Danio rerio: one gene and its partner. The protein of the gene in region 1 interacts with the protein of each later gene in a pairwise test. Links are inferred from orthologs where the notes say so. Each region holds a gene or a part of one and is shown on either strand. Other genes may lie near its edges. The genes, in order: tsen54 and clp1.

Evidence for each region.
Region 2: the proteins of tsen54 (region 1) and clp1 interact in binary tests that used the Homo sapiens proteins (3 or more experiments, as listed by UniProt). The link is inferred for Danio rerio from reciprocal best matches to the Homo sapiens genes TSEN54 and CLP1.

Annotation. Positions count from the first base shown.
Region 1 is NC_133178.1:65,630,922-65,635,266, reverse strand, and holds the start of tsen54 (tRNA-splicing endonuclease subunit Sen54), read right to left. Parts: upstream 3,104-4,345; 5' UTR 3,076-3,103; coding exon 3,011-3,075; intron 1-3,010.
Region 2 is NC_133189.1:53,766,717-53,771,117, forward strand, and holds the start of clp1 (polyribonucleotide 5'-hydroxyl-kinase Clp1), read left to right. Parts: upstream 1-1,564; 5' UTR 1,565-1,830; intron 1,831-4,366; 5' UTR 4,367-4,368; coding exon 4,369-4,401. UniProt on the Homo sapiens protein: Polynucleotide kinase that can phosphorylate the 5'-hydroxyl groups of double-stranded RNA (dsRNA), single-stranded RNA (ssRNA), double-stranded DNA (dsDNA) and double-stranded DNA:RNA hybrids. dsRNA is phosphorylated more efficiently than dsDNA, and the RNA component of a DNA:RNA hybrid is phosphorylated more efficiently than the DNA component.

The DNA of each region.
Region 1 (4,345 bases):
TCACGCGAAAACGTAAGTATTTTACGTTTAGCCAGTTTAGTGGCTAATTCGTACGAGTTCTGTCGTACGAAATTGTACGATTTTAAAAAGGCGGTGTGGGACCTAACCCCACCCCTAAACTCAAACGTCATTGGGGGATGAGCAAATCGTACTAAATTGTACGAATTAGATCATAAGAATTCATACGAATTAGCCACTAAATCAAAAAGTTACGAAATGCCGTGAGATTGTGTTGGCGAGTTTATACTGCGGTCACGCCATGGCCATCTGCGGTTCCGAGAAGGACGGTCATGCTGTCTGTGCAGTGAGTTTACCGGACCAGGTCACCCGACCTCAAGTTCAGTCTGTTTTCACTTCAAAATGTCAACAAGAATATATTGACAATGCGATGCACGTTCTACATTGAACTGACATCAAAAATGTATACATGAATTCCAGCTCAACCTGAAAAAAGTAACGTTAGTGGTAAGTGTCAATGTTATGTTATCCCAATTTGAACCTTATTAATGGTAACTAGTCAGGGCCATAGCCAGTGAGGGGCTCGGGTGGTTGGAAAGACTCACCCCTCAATAATAAAGGTCCAGAATTTGTCCCATACATGAGCTCATTTGTCTTATTGTAAGTGCTATGCCATCATAAATAGTGAAATCAATCCATTGAAAAAGGCTTTAAGACCAAGCAGAATCCTCAGGTGTGACTTTATCTAATCAGTTTTGTCCAAAACAAAGCATTATTTTTCCTGAGTTCAACATCCAGCTGCGCAAGAAAACATACAATCAGATGTAAGCGACGTCATCTTCGAGTAACTTTTAAGATTAAGTTACTTTTACTTGAGTATAGATTTTGCAAACTCTACTCACCTCTGCTGACAACAACAAAAAAGTACAACTTATTGAATTTTGCTTTGTTTACGTCTTATAATTAGACACGGGATGATCACCGGTTTCTCAAAGAAAAAAAGTCAAGGTTTTAAAACCGCAAAACCGTTCCTAAGGTATGTGTAAAGGTTTTTTTAAGTGTTTTTAATGTGTTTTAAAGAAATCTGTGTTTTTTTTTTTCTAATAAAGATAGCAGAAGTCAATGATTTATTAATAATAATAAAAAAATAATATTAATACATATTATTTATAATACGCTTTTCTCAGACCCATAGTGTAAATGTGAATTGTAAATTGAAAAAATGTCAAATAAAATACTGTATAATGTGCTCAATGGGGACAAAAATGTTGTTTTTTTAACTGAGACATTTAAAAAAAACTTATTATAGAGCTGTAACCACAATACCTTCATACCATGATGCTTTTTATCCAAGGTTATGAGACTCACAAACGTATACCGGCCCATGCCTACTTACAATCACACCAAAAATTATTCAGATGTCATTTATTTATATGTACTGCAGAAGTGCATTAATAGTTAATACTTTTAATAGTAATGTAAATATTATCATGCTACGAGTTGTCTGAATTATTTTTAGTTGATTGTTGTATACCAGAAGATGCCCAAAGTTGGCCCATGGTGACCTTTAATTTGGCCCATCTTAGAAAAGAGGGAAAATGATGGGGATGGTTTAGAGCACGGGTCACCAAACTTGTTCCTGGAGGGCCGGTGTCCTGCAGATTATAGCTCTAACCCTAATCAAATCCACCTAAACAAGCTAATCAAGGTATTACTAGGTATACTAAAAACATCCAGGCAGGTGTGTTGAGGCAAGTTGGAGCTAAACCCTGCAGGGACGCAGGTCCTTCACAACCGAGATTGGTGACCCCTGGTTTAGAGATTGTCATTTCAAATTTTATGTAAACTTTAATGGTTTGTTTTATTGTTAGGCTACAAAAAACCTAACTGAAATTAAATGTTTTAATTGAAATGGTTTAAGTTAATGAGATTTAGCTTAAATATACATACTGTTAAGGTACACCGTGACCCCAACCATAAAAAATACCTGTTCAGTAAGATAAAAACAGTATTTATAATGAGAATTACTAATATTATTTATTAAATTACCCATTGTATTGTATTAATGTCTACTCCTACCCCAATCCTCACAGTAATGTAAAAACAGTGATTATACAGAGTAATATTCATATTATTTATTAAATTACTCATTAAATTGTATTTTATTAACATCCACCGTGACTCTACCCATAATAATACCCTCACAGTAATGTAAAAGCAGTAATTATAATGATAATTATTTACAATATTAATTTTGAACCCTAAACCCTGCAGGGACGCAGGTCCTTCACAACCGAGATGGCTGACCCCTGGTTTAGAGATTGTCATTTCAAATTTTATGTAAACTTTAACGGTTTGTTTTATTGTTAAGCTACAAAAAGCCTAACTGAAATTAAATATTTTAATTGAAATGGTTTAAGTTAATGAGATTTAGGTTAAATGTACATACTGTTACGCGACAGATAGAGGACAATGCAGAGAGCGAATCAAGGCAAAGGCAGATTCTTGACTAGAACTACACTGTTGTAAATGTGATCGTCTTATTGCAATAATTACAATTATACTGCATTAGTTAATACGATTCAAATTAATGCTTATATCTATTTATAAATATTATTAAATGAATTAGAAAATTACGCATGGCAACTTTAATGTAACATAGTTTGGGATATTTATTTTCAACGATATTTGGATTTTGGCCCTTCATAGGAAAAGTTTGGGCATCCATGTTGTTGTACACATATTTTAAAACCTATCAAAGGATATTTAATGTTTTTGTTTGATCAACATAAACTGAACGACACAAATTACGCAGAAACAAAACCGAGTTGATCTTCACAATAATATTCAGGATCACAAATAAAAGTCTGCTTCCACTTTGAGTCACGTGACGAGGATGTGATGATCCTTGAGTTTGGTGGACTCGCGGCGTGTTTCCCGTGCTATATGGCTAACAGAGGATTTATATGACTGCGCTACTACTAATAAATCGATCAAATCAACACACGAAGACCTACACGCTTGATCTAAATAAGTTAATTGTGTCAGTTACCTGAGCAGCTCGTGATAAACACTTTGTTTATTTCCAGCATCCGCTGAAGCGTCTGCGTCTGCCATGTTTACTGCCGCCCCCCGTCCGGTGTGCGTATCTTCCGGGTCCTAGTGCGCAAAGAGTCACTGTACACACTTGGTACACACTCCCAAAAATAAAAACGAAGAATATATATATATATATATATATATATATATATATATATATATATATATATATATATATATATATATATATATATATATTTATATATAATTTTTGTTTATTATATTTTCAAAATTTAATTAATAAACAATAATTTCCCAAGTTATCCTCCTTTTGTGCTCACTTCTTAACTGAAATTGACCCATTAAATGTTTGGTGGTTCAATCAATTGGAGGTTTCCAACCAAACCTCATTCTTCTTTCACCAAGTTAATTATCGCTTTTTATTACTATTAAATTAACTCTACTTCCTCTTTCTTTTATTGCTACTTATTTGTTTCATTATATATCGTTTTTGTTTGTTGTTTTGTTATCCTACGTACAACTCAGGTTATTATCCAACTTGTATTCCTATTCCTGTATTGATTCAAATATATATATATTTTTTATTTCTTTTAAGTAACTAAAATAATAATAACAAATAACATTAATTATAATAAAAATCCACTATACACAAATGCGACTGCGCGTCTTCACCACTAGAGGAGAGCAAAGGCCGAAAGTTAACAATAAACATTTCTATTATTTATGAAATTACTCATTAATTGTATAAATACCCTCACAGTAATGTTAAATCAGTAATTATAATGATAATTATTTATAATATTAATTTAAATATCCATTAAATTGTATTTTATTAACATTCACCATGACCCCAAACCATTAAATACCATCACAGTAATGTAAAATAGTACTTACAACCAGAGTTATTTATATTATTTAATAATTTACTAATTAAATGGTATTTTATTAAGGTACACTGTGACCCCAACCATAAAAAATACCTGTTCAGTAAGATAAATACAGTACTTATAACGAGGATTATTAATATTATTTATTAAATTACCCATTGAATTGTATTAATGTCCTACCCCAATCCTCACAGTAATGTAAAAACAGTAATTATACAGAGTATAATTCAAATTATTTATTAAATTACCCATTAAATTGTACTTTATTAACATCCACCGTGACTCTAACCATAATAATACCCTCACAGTAATGTAAAAACAGTAATTATAACCAGAATTTATGATATTTTTTATTAAATTACCCATTAAATTGTATTTTATTGATGTCTACTCCTACCCCAATCCTCACAGTAATGTAAAAACAGTGATTATAACCACAA
Region 2 (4,401 bases), on another chromosome or scaffold:
AAATTTCCTTGCTCAGTTAAAAACCATTTGGGAAATATTTAAAAAAAAAAAAAAAAGAAAAAAATCGAAAGGGGGCTAATAATTCTGACTTCAACTGTAAGCCTGTTGAATGCATTTGTATGCAACATGGTTTGACAATAAAGTAGTCTAACAAATAAATATTTGTTATAAATGTACCTTCATTAGTCAACATTTGGTGTAGGGAATAAAAAGTTAATCAAAAATGTCCTAAGACACAATGGTAATGTTATGGTTGTTACATAACTGTATTTATTATTATTCTGTATGTTTAAACCCAGCAGAATATACTATATATTTAACATGTCATAAGCGTACAGTTATTCAAACATTTGCTTAATAAAAATGTCCTAAGACAAGAATGGGTTTTGTTTTGGTTTTATGTCAAACTACTGTAAGTTTAGTTATCTATATCATAATATTGAAAGTCAGAGTTATTTTAATGACAAAAATCAATTAAAATGTCTCTTACTCAAGTACTTCAAGCATGCAAAAGTCAAATTAAAGTATGTAAAATACATTTTCCAATAACAAAACTTTGTCTTGTGAAAATGACCTGTGGGTGGTGAGGAAAAAAGTTAATGTCTAGTTATATATATATAAAAGAAGTTGAACAAGTTGTCATGATATTTAGTCATAATGCACTTTCTATACATTTATATTAGACTTTTTTCTACATCTATAATTGGTAAATTGCTCCCAGGTCAATCTTGACTTTGTCTAATAAAGGTGAGGTGTATCAGAAGGGAGATTGTCCTATGTTCACATTTCTACTTTTGTTTTTTTCTTTGTCCTGTGTAGTGCTGTATTTTCCTTTCTGTAACACAATGACATGATCTGGCAACAAATTACTGTACAAACAGCAAATAAATAAATAAATTAGCCACAGTTTACATCAGAACACCCCTCCAGAGTACACTGTTATACTGACAACATGACTAGGCCCACACAGAATCTACGTGCGCAGAATTCTGTTTATTTGCTTGTGTAAATGTATGTAAATCCATATTTACTCAGTTTTTTAATTATTTACAATAATATTATTGACTAATTTGAAAATTTTCGTATGAATGATTTACAATACAGTTTGTAAAGTTATATTTTCTGTCTTTTAGTAGAGATATTATATAAAAGACTTGCTTTGTTTACCAAATAAAGAGGATCTAATTGGACTTGCATTGTAAGCATTAAATAAAAGTTTAAAAGGTATTACTTTTTATTTAATAAAATAAGGTTTTAGTTATGATACTTCCAAAATAATAAATAAATCCGCAGATCTTTGACACAATTCTGTGCAGAAAAAATGTCCAGACTCCCTTCAGCTCTTCGGTTTCAGATTGCTCCCTTGTTTCAGAGATTTACTGTGGGTTATGGATAAAATACAGCATTTCAGTGATTTTTTTGCTGTAATAACTAGTCAGATGTCATCATAACCACACTTTAATGATGTACTAAAAAATTATATCTATGCAACCTAAAGAAGAAAACAGAAGAAGAGAAGATCTTGCCCGTTCATTGGTCAGCAGTAACATGACGACGTCTACAAGCGACACGACGTCATCACGATGGCGTGGTTTGACAGTCGCACCGCGCTGATGTGAGGAAAGTGCTGATTATTTGTAAATACAAAGGAACTTTAAATAGTGCTTAGTGTCACGGTACATTAGTTGATAGTACACGCTAAGTCATATGACCGTCGGTTTATTCAGCGGGCTAACGTTAATCGTAAGAAGCTAACAATTCAGTAATTTATCGGCTTGAAATAAAACAGTATTTCCCAGGATATATCGCCGATCGGACGACTTCACACAGGTACAATACAATAATTGCTGCTTTGTCTTTGTTTAAAGCACATACATTGCGCTAGCAAGTGAATATGGTCAAAAAAAACATGTCTGTGTCTAACGTTACATCACATTATATTTAGCTAAAATGCTAAAATGGCTACTTCAATATTTTAATAGACTTGAGTGAAAATAAAATGTCTAAATATGGTAATATATGGTATATAATGTACAACCGCCTTTTCAGAGTTCATAAGTTAGTAATTCTGTCCTATAACGTTTTTTTTTTAAAAAAAATATTTATAAAACAATATTGATCCTTTTTTGGAGTAAAGAAAAGTGTTTTGTGTTTTAATGTGTCATCAAACGTTTCGTCTTCAAAATGTCTGACAATATTGTCGCTATATATACATATACACATACACTACCTGACAAAAAGTTATGTTGCCAAAAGTTTTAGGAACAGCACATAATAATTTGACTTCTAGTTGATCATTTGGTATCAGAAGTGGCTTATATGAAGGGCAAAGGCCTTTAAATTACGCTTATTTTACCAAAATAAAATATGATCATGCCTTGATTTATAACTATTTCATTAATGCAGTAAGGTTTGACTTTGCTTAGACATGAGTCTTATCACTGAACAGAAATAATGTCCAGTATAGAATATAAAGTCCTGCTGCAGTGGAGACAGAATGAATATTGTGTCTGACTCCATCATGAGCTTGGAGGACTGCATCCATACATCTCTGCAATGACTCAAATCAAGTTCCTGCAGTACTCCCAGAGTTCATCAAGATCCTTTGCATTTATCTTCAATGCCTCTTGCTCTATCTTACCTCAGACATGCTCAATAATGTTCATGTCTGGTGATCGGGCTGGCCAATCCAGGAGCACCTTGACCATCTTTGCTTTCAGAAGCTTTGATGTGGAGGCTGAAGTATGAGGAGCGCTATCCTGCTGGAGAATTGTCCCTCTCCTGTGGTTTGTAATGTAATGGGCAGCACAAATGTCTTGATACCTCAGGCTGCTGATGTTCCCATCCACTCTGCAGATCTCTCGCACGCCCCCATACTGAATGTAACCCCAAACCATGATTTCTCCTTCACCAAACTTGATTGATTTCTATGAGAACCTTAGGTTCATGTGGGCTCCAGTAGGTCTTCAGCAGTATTTGTGATGATTAAGATGCAGTTCAACAAATAATTCATTGGAATAATCTACCTTCTGCCACTTTTCCAAATGATCAACTAGAATATATATATATATAACCAGGCAATAAAAAATTGTAATGAAGTCAATTTTTTCAAATATTAACATGGAAAATATAAAATTCTTTTTATTAATCTGTTTATAGACTGCTTTCATTGTGACTCCAGTCATACTAAAACTTCTATAGCTATTAAAATAGCCTAGTTACTATTCCCCCACCCTGTATATAAGATTGTTACACTGAATAGCATTTTAGTGGTTGTCCTAAATGAAGTTTCACAAACTAATTTCGAGAGGAGCATGTGATATGATTGACTGCAGCTGGCCACTCATCTACACTCATTAGCTAGCCAATCAGATTGATCCAAACTCACTATAAGTAACCTAGCTAACTAGCTAAGAACTACTCCCTTATCTTCGTTTCCCGAAGAAACCCCCCATCCACCCCTTCTCCTCCTTTCCTCTTTTGCCTAGGGGAGCTCTCGAGAACTCCTGATCTCGTACTCCCCTCACATGCTCAATGGACCTGGCGGGAGCCCTGGGCTCAACTATCTCCGAGCTCAGGGTTCTCTCCCGGGACAGCACGCCAAACCTGCTAACTTGCTAACAAGTTGTCGAACAGTATCTAAGTGTGAACTCTTGAAATAAATTGAATATATCAAATTGCAGTATTCATATGACAGAGAGGTGCAATAATTTGCATTTATTTTATGTGACAAGAATTTGTGTGTTGCATGCATTTGGTTAATTGTCCAAATTTGACCAATTGGATGGGGCTTTACACTTTATACCTGTGTCCCCAGTAGGTGCTGTTTTGATGTTGGCTAGACCGTCCCAAAGGGGAACTAAAAATACACTAATGGCAGGAGTCGAGACGATAGAAAATTCATTCATAGTGATTTAAAGTCAAAATTTTTACTCTATGACGTTGTTGTTCTTTGTTGAATAAATTAGATTTAATTAGATCAGAAAAATCTATTGCCTATTTATTTTTGTAAGTTTAAAAATCTATCTGGAGGTTTTATATCACAAGAAATATAATTATTGCAATACTTAAAAACAGTGCTTAGTATTGTGCAGCACTACTGTCTTCTATCATATGAAAAAATATATAAACAAGACACATCGTTCTATGCATGTTGGAATAAATATATAAATTCCATCTATTTTGATGCTTGAAAACCCTTTCCATCTTTTTATTTAATTTTTTATTAAGCAGAAATTTGAATAAAAGTAAGTACATGACGTGAAATTTATAGCATAATTTGCTGGTTTTAAACATACAGAATAATTCATAATGGATTGCAGTTATGTAAACAATCCTTTTCATCTCTGATAATTCTCCTTCACAGTCATGACGGCAGAAGCTGCAGAAAAGTCTGTGGAG